Drosophila melanogaster: one gene and its partners. The protein of the gene in region 3 interacts with the protein of the main gene of each other region in a biochemical or structural test. Each region holds a gene or a part of one and is shown on either strand. Other genes may lie near its edges.

Region 1 (7,095 bases), on a different chromosome or scaffold from region 3:
GTATGACATCCACAAAGTTGGCGTCCGTGTCGTCCAAGTGATTCTCCGGACCAATGCAATCCTCGAAAGCGGGACGAGCTGGATCCAAGCCAGTGATGCGGTTTACCCTGTACTTAGTGTACGAACCAGCATAGCCCATGATGTGCGCGCCCAGACTGTGGCCAATCAGATGGATCCTATTCGGATCCGCATCCTTCTCCTCCACCAGCAGATCAATTAGCTTGGCCACCGCCCGTCCCACCTGAACCGTATATCGCGCCGGTGTTAGATAGTATATATTATCCGCCTGATCCTTCCAGTTGATGGCGAACACGTTCACCTGGCCACGTTCGATATAGGCACCACGAATCGATTGAATCGAATTGCTCATGGTGCTGGACTTCCAGCCGTGAACGAGTATCTTGGTGTCCAGTTCCGGATTGAATTTCTCCGCCATCTCCTGCCAGGTGTCTCGCTTGTGGCGCTGCGGAAACTCAAAGTTATTCTCATCTATCCAGAAATCAGCACTGGAACTGGAGTCGCTGGAATAAAAGGATTCAAATTGTGACCACTACGAAAGATAACTCTTCAAATCAAATAAAAAAAAACCACACACCTTCCGTACAGCTCGAACTTGATGAGCTGTGGCAGATTGATGCGGTTTTCGGGCGGAGGTTCCACCAGATAGGCCACCTCAGGCTTACCCTGTCCATTGGGCATGTAGATCCAGGTTTTGTTGTAATCCTCCTGATTTAGAGCCACCTCACCACGAATGCCAACTAAAATGGAGCAGAAACTTATGCTTAGAAGGATGGCTAAATCGAATTGAAAACATTTTACAAAGCAGCAGCACGGGTCGCACCACTTGGGCGAGGGCAGCGAATCCGGTGATGAGCCACTGCACCACCACAAATGTGGTGGACACCTCGTTGCGACACGGATTGATCACATTACAGATGCAGGCCAGCGCATTCGAGGACATCTTGACCAGCTAAACGTCGATCTTGAACTGATCGGACGCCGGATTCCAAAGATCGGAGCTCCCAGCTCCCAGTTTCCCAGCTTCCCAGATCCAAGCTCATTAAGGCGGCTGACGCATTAGTAATCCTCGAAACCGGTTCCAGCCCAGCAATTAATTTGTGGCCTGGAGCGTTTTAATTACTCAGCATCAGTGTGCGCGCGAATCTCGGTCAGGTGAGACAAAGCCACATATGTATATCCGTTTCCCCGTAACTCCCAACTCACCCATCCAACAACTAAGGGCCAGGCCACAAAGCCAGCAAAGCGCTAACATCTCTGTACCAAAGTCGACGTCACTGTGCCACGGGAATCGGGTGTGTGGATTTTATAGCGTACGATAAGCTAGACGAGGGCCAGGTGTCAATCAAGACTGGAGTTTTGGACGGACTGCTGGCCAGGTTGAAGCCTCGGTCGGAAGGGTCTCGGCGTTATCATTCCAACTCAGTTGGGCGTCCCAAGCGCGGCGCTGTTAAATTGGGTTAAGCCCAGTTCATCGGTGCATACTAATCTAAGGTGCGTTGCCCCGGTATTGAAAAGTGGAACAATATAAATATTTGAAAATATGTTCGGTAATTTAGTTAAATAAGTTACAATAACAATTACATTTTTATAAGTGTTTTTATGAAAAATGCTACATCTTATGTACACATAGATTAAATATTATTTAGATTTTCAGCGATGGCTATGTAAATTTTTCACAAATGCAATACTTTAATGCACTAACATTATAACAAATTTCAAATTTATAGAAAACTTTAAGTATTCAAAATCTAAAACGGTCATGTAAAATACCATACATCAAACCATGTAAGCATACATCTTACATGTAAAATATTGCTGGCATTTGACCTAAGTAGATTAAGTAGATTACAAAAATATGTAATCCGCAATTTCAAAGAAACATTTTTGAGTGCATCTTATAAAACTCTATTTTTTGCCAATGCTATGTAAAAGAATAATTAAACTTTGTTAATTGTTGGGTGCGCAAATGAGTAAAGCCAGAATTACGTGGCCTATTACATTGCCTAATTTTGTTTAGTATATCTAGATGTGTTGTTGCATTTTCGAAAATATCACTTGCTGCCACACTGGCTGTGCGTCATTTTCAGAAACGCCGCGAATATTTTGCCATTGAAATCTAGCTAAGCATTGGAATTTCGCAACGTGCAGCAGCAAAGCAAACTACAAACATGTCGGGCACATCGCAGAAACACAGGAACTTCGTTGCGGAGCCAATGGGCAACAAGTCGGTGACGGAACTGGCCGGAATTGGGGAAACCCTCGGTGGACGCTTGAAGGACGCTGGATTCGATATGGTGCGTGTGTAAATACGATGACGCCATGTGCGCAAATAAACAATGCCAGTCAAGTGCTAACGATCATTTCCATTCGTTTTAGGCCTACACCGTTTTGGGACAGTATCTGGTGCTGAAAAAGGACGAGGAGCTGTTCAAGGACTGGATGAAGGAGGTGTGCCACGCCAGCTCCAAACAGGCATCCGATTGCTACAACTGTCTCAACGATTGGTGCGAGGAGTTCTTGTAAGAGGTGGACACACAAGCCATCCGAGTAATTCGATCAAAAGGAATCTGCTAAAGGCATCGGCCAATCATTTTTATTCGCAGTCAACGAAAGTGGCCCAATGCTAGCTAAGCATTTGCCGTGTTCACTGTTAGTATGTATAGCTGTAGGGTGTAATTTAATGTCTAATCCGAATAAATGTACAGTCATGGAAACGATCCTGCATTTGGATCTCTGTTCTGCGAAAAGTACAGTAGGTGTAAAACATTTGTTGCTGGCCGGCGAAGCAGCCTAATGCAGATTTTTATTAATTTGATTAGGGGACAACAATAAGCAACACTATAGAAGGCAGATCGGTTGGCGACTATATCTTCTCTATGTTTTCGATTGTTGGCGAGTAGGAGTCTCTGACTCGCTGAAATAAGCCTCTGTCTTTTTGATGTTTCTTTATCAGCGGGCTGATGTCGCCTAATTTTGAAATCTATTTCTTTTTGTTTTTCGGAAATGATCTTTTATAATGATGGACTTAGAACCTTTTAAATCCCAATCGCTGTTTTGTTTGGGGATTATGTGTAAGCGGTTAATATATATTTTATAATGAAACCCCTTTTGTCAAAATTAATTGTCCTCGAGTAATTAATTAGTACCGAGTATTTGATTATAAATACAACTTTTTTTAAATAAAAATATATATTTTTAAAAACTTATTTTTAAAGTGAGTGGTATTAAATAGGATTTCTTTTCCCTGAAGTGGTATCATATGGTATTTATTTTTGGTCCCGTGGTATTTTTTATCGTTATCGGCGCGGTCACGCTGCTAAGAATTACATTACGCGTGAATACCAATGAAAATTAAGAGAGAAATTGCAAAACACAGCCAAGCGGTGCAATAAATCGCAAAGTAAGAGGCGCAAAACGCGCAAATACCGTTTGCGCGGTTAAAAAATGCAAAAACACCAAACGATAGATTAAACAAAGTGAAATTAACTCGGCTTTGGCATATGCGAACACCAGTGTGCCAGTGTGTGTGTGTTTTTCTTTGTATATAGACTCGCAGAGCGAGACGGCCATACACGACGGCAGACGGGACGGTGCAGGTGCGCGAGTGCGAGCGGGAAAAAGGCTGTGCGGTCACTGCTACTCTGTGTGTTATTTCAGAGTTACAGGCCAAACATTCTGATGTGCGGCCGAATCAAATCGACTTTTTGTGTGCATCGCCCCAGCGTTCGTCTTAATTAATTAGTGATTGCAAGCGGGTGCAATTATGCACAAAATTACGGACTAATACAACTGCCCGCTTCGCGCTCTCTCCATCTCCCTTCCAAATAGTCGTTTGCTCTTCGCACACAAAAGTGTAAACCCTGTGAAAGGTAGCAACAACGTTTCCTTGGAAAAAGCTGTAAATAGTAAACAAAATTGTCAAGTTAACGAGCCAAAGTTATTAAATAAGGTTCGAGTACGTTGGCATCGGCTGCCCAGGCAGCAAAGAAAAACAAAGACGCAGTTCAAGATTCAGCTGGACACTTAGAAGAGTTTAAGAATTGAAGCACAAAAAAACGAAGAGAAACAAGAACCCCACCAAAAACCCCGCCGTGCGTTTGTATGTGTGTGTGCCATTCAAATTTCCCTGCAGCTGGGTGAGTGTGCGTGTGTGTGTGTGTGTCAGTTTAATTTTCCTACCAATAATCGCCTTTCCAAGACGTGATTACCAGCCGATCCACCGCTTAAATTGATAAACGTTTTAACTCTTGCGTTACATCAGCTGTTTTACGGCTTTTTGTGCTATAAGTTACGCTTTTCCCGTAAGCCGTTGGCAACACTAGAACGCAAAAGAGAGAATCGCGAGTACCGTAAAGAGGAAGAGAGAGAGATAGAGAGTGTGAGCGTGTGAGAGAGCGGGGAATGTGGGGGCGGTTCCGGTGCGAGAAAACGTAGTGTAGTACATAAAGAGAGTGCGAACGAGAGGGAGGCAGCCAGCGAGTGTCCTGCGACTGCTCCCCCCTTTACCCTCGTCGCCCTTCTATTCGGAAAATTCAATGACCTCATTTGTTTCATGTGCCGAACTTTGCTTTTCTTTCCCAACCTAAAAACGCAAAAAAAAAAAAACGTAACACCAAACAGGATATAGCGTAGGACCAGTGAACAAACAAGTCCGAGAGAGCGACAAACAAAGGACCGTGCACTGGGCACCTGAAGGCAGACAGCTGGCAACGAATCAGGAGAGGATCAGGAGAGCAGGATCAGCGGGCACAAGGATCACCGGAGCAGGCAAAGGAAACACCTGGCACACAGCACAGCCACTGAGAGCGACGTGAACCAATGGGCACCAATTCGGGAGCCACCGCTGGCATAAACAACAAGCCGGTTGGCGGTGCAACAGGAGCCGGCGTCCTTGTAGGCGGCGGTGTGGGCGGTGCCAATTCCTCGATCGGCGGTGTCCTGTCGAACAGCCTGGGCGGTGGCGGCAGCGGCGGTCTGAGCATCAGCGGCCTCAACGCTGGTGGACAGAACGCCAATGTGGGCGGAATGGGCAACGTTGGCGGCGACGACGGCGGAAACGGGATGGTGGGCGGCGGTGTAAATAACCAGCAGGCCACAACGCCCCAATACACAATACCGGGCATCTTGCACTTCATCCAGCACGAGTGGTCGCGCTTCGAGCTGGAGCGATCACAGTGGGACGTGGACAGGGCCGAATTGCAGGTGAGTGATCCTTAAATACTGAATTGCTAATAGCTCCTCTTTAATATTCGATTAATCTCGTACTTTGAGATAGGTGAATCAGAAAATCAGCTTAAGATCTTAACAATGTCCTTATTATTAGTTTGAACATTGATTTAGTTCTCATCCTCCACTATTTTATTCACTATTGATTAAGTAGGTACTGGACTCACGGACTACAGTAAACTTTATAGCGTGAACTTTGTGCAGATAGTGACAGTATAGTGCTTAGTATAAAAGAACCAATGAAACTGCAAATTGTTTGTCCTAGAAAGAATACTATGCAACCAAAAGCAAGGCAATTTGGCAAGGCCCAGGGAGTGCTTAAAAGGTCCTTGCTTATCGACAGCGGTGGCTCACTTTCCATTTCAATGATTTTCCGAGGCGCTAATGCATGAACATGCAAGGAAAACGGCCAGGAGGAGCCACCACACCGCCTTGCCTCCGCCATGTCCGCATGCAAGCGAATCGAGTTGAGCAATTGCCGTCATCGAGTGTTTATGCTCTGTTTGTCGCAGACGAATGGCCAAAAAGCCTGAAAGCCCCCAAAAAATGTAAAATGAGTGTAACCGCGGGTTGGATAACATTATCGTAATTTCGAAGGAGATTACTCCACCTCCAACCTGCGCCACCCTGCGCCTCCATGGCCATCGTCAATGTCAATGTCGACCCACGCTCTATCGCTTTCACCTGCCAAGTGGCCAGATAACGAGCGGTATCGATAACGAGGCACAGTCCGTTACGCTCTGAATGCAACGTGACATTCAAATCCGTCTCTTCCCCTGCTTTGCATCATCATAATGTGGAAAAGTGGCCACAAAAAAAAAGGAACCAAGTTGACAACGCAAATTTGTCGCCGCGATTTATGAACCTGTTCGCCTTGTTTGGCGTTTTTGGCCAAAATAAATCTGGTTCGGGTGGGCAGCAGAGGCAGAGGCGACGCCATCCGAGATGGCTCTGTTTCAGCAGTCGTAGCATCCGTTCCCTGCCCGGCCGCCTGGATCTATTTATATACTTCCATATGCACATCGCAAATCTCTTTGTGTGTCAGTGCCGACTGCTGTGAATGCAGCAACGTCCTTGTCGCAACGAATCTCAGTTTTGCCGGTCTTCCCATGAATGCATCCACTTCCACTTCCTACTCGGTCGGCTTTTCCTACTGTCGCGTTTGTCAGGCAATTAACTTGCACTGTGGTCGGAAACTCTTTATTTAAAGAACATTTACGTTTCTATGTTGAATTTCAATCAGATATGAGGTAACAAAAACAAAAAAGCGAACATTTAGGTTCATCTTATACTATCATTTATAACTCTTTAATGTTTAATGGCATATTTACCTTTAAATTATTATCAAATTCTTGAGAAATGATTATTTGTGCTTCGAAAGCACTGTAAGCAAGAATGACGCGGCAAATGCTAATATATTTTCAATCATTTCGCCATTGCAAAAGCATTTGTTTGCAAATGCATTTACAGATTAGAGAAACCAAACGCCGCTGGCGCTCTTGTCATATTAATAATTCTATTTATATGTCCTTGTGTACAATATGGTCACTTCCCCAACAGCATTATGCAATGGACAATTCCAAGAGCAGCCACGTAACCCCTTTGGTTAGCCAGCATTTTTCAAAAATTGTAAAGCGAAAAATCTTGGAGCTTCTCCGCTCGGGCTCATTAAGTTACAAATGCGCATTTGTCATGGAATTCGTAATTTCTAATTGCGAATGAAAATAAAAAGTAGTTGCATGTCGCGGAGCGATTTGTGTAGCAGCTCCATAAGGCGTTGGCGTGTGTGTTTTGTTACCTTTCTGGCCCTTTTGCCTTCGAATATCCGGAATATTAGCGCGCTGCTTT
Region 2 (8,900 bases), on a different chromosome or scaffold from region 3:
CATGTTTTTATAGTCATTATTTGAGTGCCTATAAAATCAAAGGAAGCAGCCCCAATGGCACGCAGAAAATCTGATAATCTTGACAAATTTTCGACTCAGCACCGAGAAGTGATTTTCACTTAGCTCGATTCCCTTTTTGCATTTTCTATTACCCCGACTCACTCGACTTAAGTGCATAGTGTGTTGTACTGTGCACTAAGTCCCTAGTAAGAAAACAAATTGTATTTTCCCAGTTGTTTGCAATCCCGCCCCCTTCGCACCCAAAAATGGCCCACATTGCGTATACGCAACGTTGCACATTTCGGTGAGGAGTCTAGACCGAATGCAAGGATGCCTTACAATCCGCTCGTACTGACAAGTAACAAAACTGTATTGATTTGTTGCTAATAGTTGATCCTGATTCCCATTCTTATTCTATTTCATTTATTCGATTTTTTTCTGCGGATGGGTTTTGATTTGATTTTCGAAGTACACACTGGCACAGAGCTACTGACACACAAAAGCCACTCATCTGCGGAATGGCAGAGGAAAATGTATTTGCGGTTGGCGAACTGCATGGGAAGCACAATTTTGGATGTTTATGCTGCTGCTGTTCGCTTATTTATCGAGAGAGCTTAGCTGTTGTCGGGGTTCTGTGTGCATTTTGATTTAATTTGGAATGCGCTACTCAAAATGCAGTTCCGTTTTGGCATGCAATTTGCCAAATGTCAAATAGGTTTGGGCCAATCTCAGCTGCATGGCTGCCAACACAATGGAAATGGCTGACATTTGACTGAGGATTTGGAATCCTGTTTCTGGCATCACCACCGACACACTATGCGTGTGTGTGGATATGACGTTAATTTGGTGTTGACTCTTAGAAAATGTGACCCTTTGAATCATGATTCAGTTCAACTCTGATTGATGTGACTTTTTAGCACGTCCCCTCATTACAAAACAAGGCAGTACAAGTCCTGCCTTTAGTTTTTGGGCCCCAAAAAGTCAAAAGTCAAGCGCCCTTTGTTTTCCACTGGCATTCACCAGCAGCCAGATTGCTCTTCCACCGAAGGCCAGATGGAAAGATGCACTTGGATAGATAACCCTCATAATCGGATAATTGGATTTTATTTGATCGCTTTGGGGTGAATAATGTTTCAGTTCATTTTTAGCTGAACAAATACATAATATCGGATTTAATGTTTTTAATTGGCTATTAATTACTATTTTGAAATGTGTTTATTTCCAATCATTAAAAATTAAAAATAATAATTTAATTAATATATGTGCATTTGTAAAAATTATATTTTAATTATTTTGCTGAAAGTACATATAGATTACGGTGCAAATAAAATGTTAAATATCCTATCCATCAAAATCGTTTTAGCATGTTTTCCACACCAACTAAAGTTAAACCAGTTAACTAAATGCAAAGTCACAGCCTCCGAAGAGCTAAAAGCCCAACATTTACAACAATTCGTTAGAGCACCTACTTCCATCATCACCAGCTCATAAAAACAGAATGTGCGTTAGCCTGTGTAGGTGCACCACTCTGCCTATGCGTTTTGCGGACCACAGTGCGTATGCGTAATACGAAGACGAGTGGCGTGGGAAGTCCTTTGCCATCGTTTGGCTGCCGCTTGTGTAATTGGGCGTGTAATTGTGTTTGCCTTTTCACATTTAGTCGGGCCCAAAAAAGGTCACTTTTGATGTGTGTCCTGTGGCGATGCTGCACTGCATGAGTTGAGCGGGCTCACCCAATTAAAATGTCGCTCAAAACTTTTGCCCCAATGTCCCTGGCGGGAGTGAAAAACTGTTAATTGAGTTTCTGTCCGCCAACGCGAAATGAATTATGAGCAACTTATAATGAAGACGGCTCAACTTGAGCGCAGCAACTTTTGGCAACTCGACAATGGGCCAAAGTCCATAATGACGGGCTGTCCTTGGCGCGTTCAAGGCCACATCCTTCGACGCAGCGATTTAAGTGATTGACTTGGCCCAGCACGGCCCTTATTTATTTTTGAGCGTCTGTCCCATTCTCCAGATGTCGAGGCTCGATAAGCTCCGGCGTGGCATGCCACACACCTGTCAGGATGTGTCCGGATATGTTCCATGCGTGACAGTTCAGGGCGCGGCTTAGGGCGAAATATTGGCTCCTCTCATCGAATATTCATGGCGAGCACCTTTTTTAATGGATGAAAAACAGTTTAATTCCCATGAGTTATTTATTTTCCTGTTAAATCCCCTCGACCAATATCCTGAATCAAGGATATTAACGGGTTACGAGTCTAAGAGTACACATTCCACTAACTGATTAGTGTGGGAAATAAAAAGTTAGAGAGCCCAAAATTATGCCACTAAGATTGAATACGGCCTGTGTGACTACCAAATTATTTTGTGTTCGCTGACTCACGACGGCTGTTTTCTGTGAACGTGCAAGCACTTGAAAGTTACCGCTCAAAGATGTCACTACGAAATACAAAAAATATATAAACACTTCTTATCGGCGTCTACGAAATGCAAAAACAAGGAACATGAGCGAGCCATTAACATTATGACATTTGGGCATAAATAAATTCCGCAAGATAGCCAAAAGTAGGGTATTAAAAACACGTTATCTTTAAATTTATGTGTCTTGGAAATTAAGATGAATGTCGAATTAGTTGTATTCAAATCATTCATTTGGTGCCAAATACCCCCGATTATAAGCAGACGGATAGTGATAGTAAGTAATTTTAAGGAAATTTACTGACATTTTGTTTGGTTATTTTTTAAACTAACTGAGTTCATGGCTGACAAATTGATAGAACAACGTATGGAAAACTACCTGCGTTCTTTGACCGAACCATATTACAATGGTCTTGAACTTTGCGACCCATCATTAAGATACCATCAAGGGTGAAAATGGTCGAGTGATTGCCTTCTGCCATCTCTATTTTGATGAAGGCGCCTCGCTTTTCGGCCATGTCAATGGGTCTCTCGACTGCGATAGGGGCCGTGATAAGAAAGCACAGATAAAAAAAATAAAAAATAGAAAACCGTCTGCAGACCAATTGGCTTGGCCTGATAAGCGAGTTGGCTGATTGGCAGGGACCCCAAACAGCTGTGATTTAGTCATAGCCGAACATTCGCCGTGTCCACATAACCACGTCGCAATTGCTGCTCGTCGCGGAAACCAGAAATTCAAATAATCATAAATATTAAATGCCAAGAAACGGCCAAGTGAAGTGAAGAGCGAAATGTTAACCTATTTGCCGGTAGTGTGGCTCTTTTTTGCCCTTCTGGTGCTTCGTTCTGCCACGGGACAGATCATACCACTGCCCACCTTTTGTTTGGGTCTTAGTCCGCAGTGCACTTGTGCCGCCGAGGGGAATGTGGTGCGTTTCCATTGTCCGGATGAGTACGCCATGCTGCTGGAGGTTTCCGAACCGGGCGCATCGTTGTACATGAGCTATTATGCCTCCACCGAATTGCAGTGGCTGCCGCGCTTCAATATCAGTTCGCTTGTGAAGATCGAGTTCGATGCGTACATCTTCTGGCCGGAGAAGTTCCTTAGCGACTTACTCAAGACCTTGGGTGTTCAGACTGTGAAGACGATTATTTTCCGTGATCGAACTTTGGAAACGGTAGTCACACGCGACGTTCTGAACTCGGGCAATGGATATATGGAAACTTCGCAGCCCGAAAACATTACCACCTGGCACTTTGGTTCAGTTCCGGGCCTGAAGAAGTTCAAGTTCTTCAGCCACGTGCCGGAGCTGCAGGAGTCCATATTCCACGGTTTCGACACCCTGAGGGATCTGCATCTCAGCGTGAACGTGACGACGTTGCCGGGAAATATGCTGTCCACGGTGAATGGAACTCTGAAAACGTTGACCATCGAGAGTCCGGGTATAGTGTCATTCGGGAATCCATTGCTCCGCGAACTGCAGCAACTGCGCAACTTGAGTCTCGCGCTCATACATCCGTTTCATGAGCGCGACAAGCAATTGCAACCGCACTTCTTCGGTTCCATGACTAATCTGGAGGAGGTGCGGCTGGCGTCCGCCACAAGTAGTGTGAATCGCTCGATGTTCAAGGGCACCAACAAGTTGCAGCTGATCAAGATGAATGGCAACGACGATCTCATGGAGCTTCCGGGTGAAATTTTCCTGGACCAGGTCAATCTAAAGACCCTGGATCTATCCTGCAATGCGATCGTCACTCTGCACGAGGATGTCTTCAAAGGCCTGGGGAATCTAACGCTGCTGGATCTATCCAAAAATAGACTGACTAACTTGTCGAGGTGGGTTGAAAGGGGGTTCTGTTTGTTGTTTTCGCCACCTGCTTGCTTGCGCTGATTAATAGATGGCCCACCTAGCGATAGGGTACGGACTGTAGAACTTGCTTCTAACCAAAGTAATTAATCGAAGGCACTCTTCTTCGCCTTATCGCTGTGGTTGCGGCTGCTGCTATTTCCCTTATCAATACCCGGGGCACGAGTAATGGCTCATCGAGAGTTCCATGTCTCCCCCTGACAGGCAAGTGGGGTTATCGGGTCCTATCGTTCAGATACTAATTGCAGTGTTATTATTGTACACAGATTGGCGCCAAAAAGTATGCCAAACATTATTAATTGATTGATCCTTATCTGGCTGTAGTAATTCGTGCTCAAATCAGACAAAATATTTCGTATTTGTTACGCCACAAGTACTACTATGTATATCTAAACAATTCATTATGAAAAGTCATATGAAACGTAAGACGTATTTTATTTTTTTTGTATAGTTCTTGTCTATGGCAATCTTATTGTCGTTTGATAAGATGTGGTCGAATAGAAATTAATTAGATATTTTTGTGGCTGATAGATTTTAATTATAGAAAAAAAGGTTAAGCTTTTTACCGATCTTAAAAAATGGCATTGAACAATGTTCTTAATACTATTGAGATTTACAATCAATCTGCGCGAAACAAAACTTTTTATACTGATTTTCTAGAAACCTAAGCATTATCATGTTGATTTGCAGAATTTATTTGTAGTCCCCATTTTGAATTAGCAATACCATAGAAGTTTTTTTTTATTAATTTAATAAAAGTAGCAAATTGGTTTTTAGATGTCGCAGACATAAGCATTATGCTTAACATAATGCCTACTAATCCCCTCATAAATGTTTTTAAAGGCTTCACCACTTATAAAATACTGTTTATAAATCATTTTTATATTGTTAAATAAATATGTAAGTAACATGTAAAAATTATAAATAAGCTAGTTAAAATAGCTTTACCATTTTCGATAGCTTATTTAAAAGAATCAATGTTATTGTATAGCATTAGGTCACTAGTTTTGGGATGTAGATAACGATAGCCCCACTTGGAACTCGGTACTTCCTGATTAATGTCAATCTAATCCCTCTGAGATCTCCTCCTCCTGCAGCACAATTTTCGCACCATTGACTTCGCTGAACGTTTTGCGTCTGAACAAGAACTCGCTGACCGCGATGTCGCCGAGTGTGTTCCAAGATGTGGTCAGTCTGAACTACATCGAGATGGTGAACACCCAGTTCTATGGGGCCACGCTCCTGATGAACTACGAGGCTGTGGTGTGCACCAATGACGAGGCGTGCCAGTACAAGTCGGCGGAGTGGCAGTGCGATCCCCGATGCATCTGCTGGGTGCAGCGGAGTGTAGGTAGTCTGATCGTGGATTGCCGCGGAACGAGTCTCGAGGAACTTCCGGATTTGCCCCGCACCACGTTACTGAGCACGGTGCTCAAGGTGGGCAACAATAGCCTCACCAGTCTACCCACTGTGAGCGAACACAGTGGTTATGCCAATGTGAGTGGACTCTTTCTGTCGGACAATAACCTGACCAGCCTTGGAAGCGGTGACCAGCTGCCCGATAATCTCACCCACCTGGATGTGCGAGGCAATCAGATTCAGTCACTCAGCGATGAGTTCCTATTGTTTCTTCAGGAGCCGAACAACACTATGACGCTATCGTTGTCGGGAAACCCCATCACCTGTGGCTGCGAATCCTTGTCGCTTCTCTTCTTTGTGCGGACCAATCCGCAGCGGGTACGGGACATCGCCGATATTGTGTGCACCAAGCAGAAAAAGTCCTTCCAGCAGATGGAGGCCTTTGAGCTGTGTCCATCGTATGTCCTACTCATCAGCTGTGTGGTCGGTGGCCTGGTGATCGTCATCTGTCTGCTCACCGTGTTCTACCTAATGTTCCAGCAGGAGCTGAAGATTTGGCTGTACAACAACAATCTTTGCCTGTGGTGGGTCTCCGAGGAGGAACTGGACAAGGACAAGACCTACGATGCCTTCATCTCGTACTCGCACAAAGATGAGGAGCTGATCAGCAAGCTCTTGCCCAAACTAGAGAGTGGTCCGCATCCCTTCCGGCTGTGTCTGCACGATCGGGACTGGCTGGTGGGCGACTGTATTCCGGAGCAAATCGTTCGCACCGTAGACGACTCGAAGCGGGTGATTATTGTACTGTCGCAGCACTTCATCGATTCGGTGTGGGCCCGCATGGAGTTCCGGATCGCCTATCAGGCCACATTGCAGGACAAACGGAAGCGAATCATCATAATCCTCTACCGGGAACTGGAGCACATGAACGGCATCGATAGCGAACTGCGAGCCTATCTCAAGCTGAACACCTACCTCAAGTGGGGTGATCCGCTCTTCTGGAGCAAGTTGTACTACGCGATGCCGCATAATCGCAGGGTTCTGAAGGGCCAAAAGAAGCATGCGGGGCCGCTAATCTGAGGCTTGAATAAAATGTAAGATATTTTAGATGAATATACTCACTCGCTTTCAGTTGAGATTCTCGTAGAGATCCCCCTTGGCGAGGCAAACTTGGGCCTTAAAAGCTAATTTGCATGCCTTGCTTAAAGTTCTAAAGTTATTATGACTATTTAAAAAGTATTGATACATACATCATAAGTAATTTAATTTATTTTTAAGCAAACTAATGACCTTACGATTTTGTTTCCAATTTTCCGGAAATTATATATTTACAACGTAATTTTACAAGTAATATTTACAAATTAATAATAATGTCAATAAAATAAAAAAATATATAAAAACATATCAGCATATAGCTTCTATGACTGTTTAACCTAATTAATGCATACAAACGGGCAGTTATTCTTTCGACAAATTTGTTAATTAAATTCATCTTCATATTCAAAATTTAATAGCTTTAATTTGAATAACTAATAAATTGTCACAATAATTAACTTAGTCGTTAGCATCAACATTTGCAACATTTCATGGAACACACAAACGCTCGATTGCCATTAATCAATTAGCTCAATTAAAATGATGATTATGTGTTAATTACAGCTTCGGATGAATTTATGACACTCATTATACGAATTATTTTCCGCTAAATCTATGATAAGAAAGAATAGAAATGTGTATACAAGTTAGAAACTGCAAGATACTGAAAATAATATTATTTCCACGCCCCTCAGCTGCTTCTTAAAACAAGTAAGAATGTAAAGAATATCAAATTAATCACGTTTAAAAAGCTTTTCATTGGTGTAAATTTTTAATTCACCGAGGGACCCACAAAGTGGACAGTTTTTGAGCCCTCGTCCAAATATCCCAGCTGGCTTAGGCCTTTGGATGAGCTGGTCCTTGTTGGTGGTCCTTCCCTTTGTTTCCAACAATGTATTCGGCCTGGATTGTGTCATTTTTCGCATGAGATTTTAATTAAATTTTAAATTCCAAAACATTGGGGTGCTTTGTGTGTGCGCAGATAAAATGCCATTTGGCCTTAAATGAATTTTAACAGCTGATGTGTGCATAAATAAACATGAACTGCTGCTCTTCTGCATGACTAAAAATTAATTTTTCCAAAGCTGCACGCTTTTATTCCACATTATTATTTGCCAAAGTCACCACATCATAACCATGGGCATTCGTGGGCAATAATATTTGCAATTTATACGGGCTTAAATATTTATTCAGTCACATGCTTTAAGCAGCCCTCATAGCCTCATCTTCAAACTCTAATTATCCACTTCGGTAATTGCGCTGGCCTTCATTGCTCAGTTGAGTCGAGCACTGGAGCCCTTTCCCCAAATAGGCCGATTCAGGCCCAAAGTGGCGAGCCAAGCCAATTCCCAGCCAGATATAAGTGAAAATATATGTAATAACCAAGAGGGCAGAGAAAAACATTTGGCCAACTTGCGCTCCCTACACTGTCAGCCCTTTTTTTTTTTTGCCGCACGATTGCGTGACCTTTTGTCCACCCACCACCCACAAGCCACCATCAAAGTGGGTGGTTTGGTTGGTTCTGCAGAGCGTCTTTGAAGATTCATTGCCTGCCCGCTGGCCAACACTTTGTGGGCGAGTCGAACAAAAGAGTGAGGGTCATGGGGCAAGGGACAAAGCTAGAACACTTATTTATAACGCTTGGTCTTTAAACTTAAAAACTGAAATATTTCCACTAACCTTTTATATACAAAAGTTAAGTTTAATTATTTCTACAGTCGATAGAACTTGTATTCCCCAAATTAACATTTCAACATCAACGGCATTTTTTAAAACTCATTATTATTTAACAACTGCTCGCTGTGATAAATTACTTTTCTACAGCCAACTGAATGGCGGAAATTCAATCTTTTTGCAATTCAACATTGTGATTCGCTTTGAGCGCGGCATCCAATTCAATTTTGATTGTAAAAATGCTCAGTTGAATTATATTTCGCTTTGCCTTTGTGACCCTCCAAAAGTTTGTAAGTGATGACATTTGATTGCTGCCCCAACACATTGCAGCTGCCATTGTATAATCATCTGGGCTCATTTTTCATAAACTTACACTCGAAGTCGAAGTCCGAGTCCTGGAATCTGGGTGTGAGTAGTTATCACAAACATCTGTTTGCCACTGCCTTTCATTTATCACGAGTTTTGCGAAGAAAACTATAA
Region 3 (6,541 bases):
GCATAAGAAAGATAAAGCAAGATATCTTAGTTGGAAATTTTTTTTGGGATGAAGATATCACAATTTGTATGGACTTCTACGTTAAGTTAGACAGACACAAGGATTCGCGATGAGAATATCCACCCAAGGGCTCCGTTTCGCTTACCTTTGGATTGTTGGCCACGATGGGTGGCGGATGGGAGCCATCGCCGGAGTCCGGGCTCAGCTCGACGGCCTTGCTAGCAAGCAACTTGTTGCGCCAGACCTGCTTCATCTCCTGCAGCACCTGTTCGTCGACGCCCTCGTCCAGGAACGCGTCCCGCACATTTGTGATGACGTCCTCGATCACGGCATGGTACACCTTCAGCTGCGGGCGAGAGGGGATGCGGTTAATTGTGTATAATTAAATTTGAAATGCACGACAAATCTGGGCTTGTGTTGACTTAAACACTCATTATATTATCGCGGCTCAACTTCACGCTATTAGGGCCTAAACAGTTGGGGGTAAAACAATAGGGATTGCGCAAAAAATCCACGAAGCAAGTAAAGGGCAAGACGCTATAGAAGTTGAAAATGTGGCGCACAGTATGTGGTGAGCCTTTTTGAGCTCCCATTAAAATTCAGACGCAGCTGTAATGTGAATATGCAAAACGCAAATAAAGTATGTAAATTATTTGTTTGCGAAGAATGTCGCAGTGCACATATGTACATAGATACCATGCATATGCTGGTATATATATATATGTACATTGTACATATATATACACCGGTATGCCAGTTGCTTGTTTTATTAATAGTTTGTTTTGCGTTATCAGCGGACGATAAGGAAGGAGGCCCCGACTTGTAGATAATAGCACAAGCTACGCAGCGTGTATTACTGCTAAATATAACCCCCCATGGGAGTTTGAAGTACTACGCGGAAAAGCCGAAAATCGGAAAATCCAGAGGGCAAGAAACATACAAAACTGCAAGGCAACGAACGCACTAACACAGCGACATCCAGACAGACACGCACTCGCATGCACACACATCCACACCCGAGAGGTTTGCAGTTTTGGTATCTCGGATTTCAGCAGTTGTAACTATCGTTTTGTAGTAACTACCATGACCACTGGGAAAGCTTTCACTTTCCCGCGTGGGCGGCGGAAGGAGGTGAAGCTGGAGGAAATGGAGAAACTCCTTGGTAGGATGCCTTCCATATGTCGAATGCAATGGAGCCACCGCCGCTGACACAATTACCGGATCTCGGGGATCCAGCCGCACACTCACCACCGATGTCTGGCATAGCGCCATTTGGACCTTTTTCTCCGCCAGCTTGAGGCTTTTCCGTTCGCTGGTGGGGCTAATTGACGTATTTGCTGAATTATAAATGGGCGAAGCGAAGAATTAGCGATAGCGATGCGTTCGTGACGGTGTCAGCAGTGTGGCCACCTGCGGGGCACTTGAAAACGACGCATGTCCGCCAAACTGCAAGGCTCATTTGGTCATACACTAATTGCCTTTGGTATTTTTTAAGATATTTTAGTATACAAAATACTGTGCAAATTACATAAAATATGTGGAGGTTATTTAAAATCTATTTAATATTTTCATACAGCAAATACCTTTTTAATAATTACTCTGCTTTCTTTTTACTTCTGAATTTTAAACAGTGGCTCCTAAGCATCTACCACTTTTTCGAGTGTATTATTTGCTAGACATTGGCAGCGTTGCCAGACTGCTTCGCTCTGTTAAGCTGCTTTATCACTTGTTGCGCCGCTGTTAACAAGTCATCCACAGGTTTTCATCGAATCGCGTTGGGAATTTACCCAAAAGCGATTTTCGTTTCGCTGCAACAGGTTACCAGCGCCGCCAACCCCTCATCCAACGGGCACTCTTGCATCCGGAGCCGCATGAATCAGTCGCAACCGGTTGAACCGCCCGCCCATAAGTGAAAGATGAGTGGCGTCCAGACCGCCGAAGCCGAGGCGCAGGCCCAAAACCAAGCGAATGGCAACAGGACCAGGTCGCGTTCCCACTTGGACAACACAATGGCCATCCGACTGCTGCCGTTGCCCGTGCGAGCCCAGCTATGTGCCCACTTGGATGCCCTAGACGTATGGCAACAGCTGGCCACGGCCGTAAAACTCTATCCCGACCAGGTGGAGCAGATAAGCAGCCAGAAGCAGCGTGGCCGCTCAGCCTCCAATGAGTTCCTCAACATTTGGGGCGGTCAGTACAATCACACGGTGCAAACATTGTTTGCTTTGTTCAAAAAGTGAGTCAGTTTGAGATAATAACCGCCGAGATCCCAGAAATGACTCCTCTTACTTTAGATTGAAGCTTCATAACGCCATGCGTCTGATCAAAGATTACGTTAGCGAGGATCTGCACAAGTACATACCGAGGAGCGTGCCCACCATCAGCGAGCTGCGCGCTGCTCCCGATTCCAGTGCCAAAGTAAACAACGGCCCGCCGTTTCCCTCCTCCTCGGGCGTCAGCAACTCAAACAACAATCGCACCAGCACAACGGCAACGGAGGAGATACCCAGCCTGGAGTCCCTGGGCAATATACACATTAGCACCGTACAGCGGGCAGCCGAATCCTTGCTGGAGATCGATTATGCGGAGCTAGAAAACGCCACGGACGGCTGGAGTCCGGATAATCGACTGGGACAGGGCGGATTCGGAGACGTGTACCGCGGCAAATGGAAGCAACTGGACGTGGCCATCAAGGTGATGAACTACCGCAGTCCCAACATCGACCAGAAAATGGTGGAGCTGCAGCAGAGCTACAACGAACTCAAGTATTTAAACAGCATCCGGCACGACAATATCCTGGCCCTCTACGGATACAGCATCAAAGGTGGTAAGCCGTGCCTCGTCTACCAGCTGATGAAGGGCGGCTCCCTGGAGGCTCGTTTACGAGCGCATAAGGCACAAAACCCACTACCAGCACTCACCTGGCAGCAGCGGTTTAGCATCAGCCTCGGCACGGCTAGGTGGGATTTATCGTTTCTTTAGTGCTATCAATCTTCTTTAACTTTTCATTTCGTTTCCAAAAGAGGCATCTACTTTCTGCACACGGCGCGAGGCACACCGCTGATTCATGGAGATATTAAGCCGGCCAACATCCTGCTGGACCAATGTCTGCAGCCAAAAATCGGAGACTTCGGTCTGGTGCGCGAGGGTCCCAAGTCCTTGGACGCTGTGGTGGAAGTGAATAAAGTTTTCGGCACTAAGATCTACCTGCCACCGGAGTTCCGCAACTTCAGACAACTCAGCACGGGCGTGGACGTCTACAGCTTCGGCATTGTGCTGTTGGAGGTGTTCACGGGTCGTCAGGTGACGGATCGCGTGCCGGAAAACGAGACGAAGAAGAATTTGCTGGACTACGTTAAGCAGCAGTGGCGGCAAAACCGGATGGAGCTGCTAGAGAAGCACTTAGCAGCACCGATGGGCAAGGAGCTGGACATGTGCATGTGCGCCATCGAGGCGGGCTTGCACTGTACTGCCCTGGATCCGCAGGATCGCCCATCCATGAACGCGGTGCTCAAGCGTTTCGAACCGTTTGTTACCGACTAGATGGGCCTTATTATGTTACCATTTTATTGACGAACTTGAAAAGCTCGAAGGACCATTTGTAAACCATTTCCACATTTTGTGATCAATCGCAATATATATTTTTAACTTTAACATTCCAACGAAAATTTCCCTAAAGACTTATTGTTATGCTTAAATTGTAAATGCTTACCCTATTGTTTATTAAATATTTTTGTACACTTAGTTGTTAGTGGTATGTTTGATGTTCGGAGAAACTAAATTTATGATATGCCCCAAATCGATGATTTAAAACTCAAACGACTCAAGCGACGTGGCCAGTGGAGCTACGTTTTGATTTTAGCGTCATTTCGGTTATAATTATTTTCATTTTCACAACACAATCATCGCAAAATAATATTGTTTTTATTCGTGACGCAGAATTCCGGCTCTAACCATTGACACGAATCAATTTTATAGATATAGCTTTTAGCACGTGAAAAATTTTCAATTTTTAATCAAGGACGACCAGCGGACGAGACAATGAATTTAAAAAATTCCAAGTTTTTCAAGAGGATTCAGGAGCTGCGCCACTTCTCCAAGGAGAAAATACGGAAGGATCGCGAAAAGAGGACCCACGTTGTTCGCGCCCTGGACATGGCTCTTAATGAGCAGCCGTGCTTGGACCGGGAATGGTTCAGTCCGGAGCAATCACCGCCACTGCAGCCCATGTCCCCACGCCGCCGGATGAAGAAGACCCGGTGCCTCAAGAGGAGGACAGCCGCCGACAAGCAAGTGGATGATAACTCCCCATATTACGGACCATCTTCTGGTGAAAACAGCCCAATGCCTGCTGAGGAAGCCAAGCTGCAGGGATTCATTCAACTGAACAACAAGACCTACCGAGTGGAATGCCCCACTCGGGTGCTCAATCCTCCCATGAACGTCGACGAGGAGCGGCCAGCCAGGTGATCTTCCTTAGCTTTGGATCCTTATTGGATAACGCATCTAACATAATCCCCCAGCGAAACCAAGAGTACCATCTGCGTGTCCAACTCGCGCTACGCCATGATTGGGAAGATCTCCAAGACGCTGGGCTACAAGTTGGTTAAGGAGTCCAAGATGTGGAACATCCTCTGGTCGGATTCGTTTCCCGGCGTAGAGCTGTTCAAGAACATGAAGCGCTTCCAGCAGATCAATCACTTTCCGGGCATGATCGAGATCTGTCGCAAGGATCTGCTCTCGCGGAATCTAAATCGAATGCTAAAGATCTTTCCACAGGACTACAAGATCTTTCCCAAGACCTGGATGCTGCCGGCGGAGTAAGTAAACCCCAGCCTCACACTGAAAGTGCTAATCATTGATACCAACGATTTCAGCTATGGAGATGCCATGAACTACGCGCTCAACCACAAACGCACGTTCATCCTGAAACCGGATTCTGGTGCCCAGGGTCGTGGCATCTGGCTGACAAACGACCTGAAGACCATAGGTCCACATGAGCGCCTCATCTGCCAGACGTACATACACAGGGTAATGTATCCGCTGTTCATCCGGAATCCCATACGCTGGCTAACCATCGCATCCACTTTTCCAGCCCCTGCTCATCGATGGGTACAAGTTCGATCTGCGTGTGTACACCTTGATTACCTCCGTGGATCCCCTGCGCATCTTCGTGTACAACGAGGGATTGGCCAGATTTGCTACGAACAAGTACGTGGAGCCCACGCCCGGAAACGCCAACGATCTGTACATGCACCTGACCAACTACTCGGTGAACAAGCGGAACTCGCACTACGAACTCTGCGACAACGATGACTGCGGCAGTAAGAGGAAGCTGAGCGCAATCAACAACTGGATGCGGCGACACAACTACGATGTGGAGGAGTTCTGGAGCAATGTGGACGACGTGATCATCAAGACGGTGCTGAGTGCGTGGCCAGTGTTGAAGCACAACTACCATGCCTGCTTTCCGGGTCACGACAAGATCCAGGCCTGTTTCGAGATCCTCGGCTTCGACATCCTGGTGGACTGGAAGCTAAAGCCGTACATCCTCGAGGTGAACCACTCGCCCAGCTTCCATACCAACGAGCAGGTGGACAGGGAGGTAAAGCGGCCGCTGATCCGGGACACCTTGAACTTGGTCAGCACGGTGCTGGCGGACAAGAGGCAGATTCTCAAGGAGGATCGCAAGCGGGTCAAGCAGCGGCTGCTCAAGATCAGGGGAGACCCGTAAGTGTCTCATCATCATGTCAGCATCATCATCATTGGTAACCCACATATATATTTCCAGACCCGTACAACGTCCGCGTCTTGGTGGCGGCACCTCCAAGCCCAAAATCGATGCCCAGAAGGGCAGTCCGGATGCCCAACCCGTTGATGTTGAACCCGAAGCTGAGGACCATGGTCCACTGGCCCAGCAAATCGCCTGGGAGGAGAGTCATTTGGGCAATTTCAGGAAGATAATGCCGCCACCAGACTTGAGCAAGCTGGACTACTACACTCGCTTCTATGCCCAGTCGCACCAGGTGTCCATCTTTGCGGAGACGGCGGCCAGTAAAAAGCGAGAGGATCTCGCGCGCAAGATGCGCATCCAGCTCGAGGAGAAGAAGGCCAAGCAGCAGCAGATGCTGAACGGGAAGGCCAAGCGGGATGCTAGGAAACGACACACCGTATTGCTGCCGCGGGCTGTGCGCGAGAAGAACCGTATTAACTTCTTCCGGCTGAGGGAGAACTGGTCGCCGGGCTTCATATCGGACGCGGAGGAGCGACTGCGCCACACCTGGCTGCACATGCGGGCGGAGGCGATACGAACGCTCAAGATCACCGAGAATGTAAGTCGGTTCACTTCCAAAAAAAAAGATACATTTATATTTAAAGGAGATATTCGTCCACAGATCTACAGCAATCTCTACGAAACTGGACTCCTGACCAACACGGACATGGTCGTCTATCCGCATCTCTATCACAACTTGCAGCACGGCTACGACATCAAACGTACTCCATAGTCAGTCATTTCGCCCAACTCCAGCCACACAGACTA

What was found.
Region 1: of the proteins of pll (region 3) and Cka, one has a biochemical effect on the other in vitro, tested with the Drosophila melanogaster proteins (one study listed by BioGRID).
Region 2: of the proteins of pll (region 3) and Tehao, one has a biochemical effect on the other in vitro, tested with the Drosophila melanogaster proteins (one study listed by BioGRID).

Annotation. Positions count from the first base shown.
Region 1 is NT_033779.5:8,027,419-8,034,513, forward strand, and holds the start of Cka (connector of kinase to AP-1), read left to right. Parts: upstream 1-3,302; 5' UTR 3,303-3,421; exon of another isoform or gene 3,422-4,157; intron 4,158-4,641; 5' UTR 4,642-4,839; coding exon 4,840-5,223; intron 5,224-7,095. Other genes in the region: CG7367 (uncharacterized protein), read right to left, coding at 1-521, 596-758, 820-961; baf (barrier to autointegration factor), read left to right, coding at 2,190-2,315, 2,398-2,544.
Region 2 is NT_033779.5:13,432,534-13,441,433, forward strand, and holds Tehao (tehao), read left to right. Parts: upstream 1-3,088; 5' UTR 3,089-3,215; coding exon 3,216-4,261; intron 4,262-5,361; exon of another isoform or gene 5,362-5,389; coding exon 5,390-6,731; 3' UTR 6,732-7,397; downstream 7,398-8,900.
Region 3 is NT_033777.3:27,248,333-27,254,873, reverse strand, and holds pll (pelle), read left to right. Parts: upstream 1-1,691; 5' UTR 1,692-1,916; coding exon 1,917-2,236; intron 2,237-2,294; coding exon 2,295-2,960; intron 2,961-3,023; coding exon 3,024-3,543; 3' UTR 3,544-3,743; downstream 3,744-6,541. Other genes in the region: TfIIA-L (transcription factor IIA L), read right to left, coding at 146-346, 1,249-1,272; TTLL6B (tubulin tyrosine ligase-like 6B), read left to right, coding at 4,042-4,466, 4,524-4,820, 4,878-5,031, 5,096-5,730, 5,792-6,332, 6,396-6,506. UniProt on the Drosophila melanogaster protein: Plays an essential role in the Tl receptor signaling pathway that establishes embryonic dorsoventral polarity; the signal directs import of dl into ventral and ventrolateral nuclei, thereby establishing dorsoventral polarity.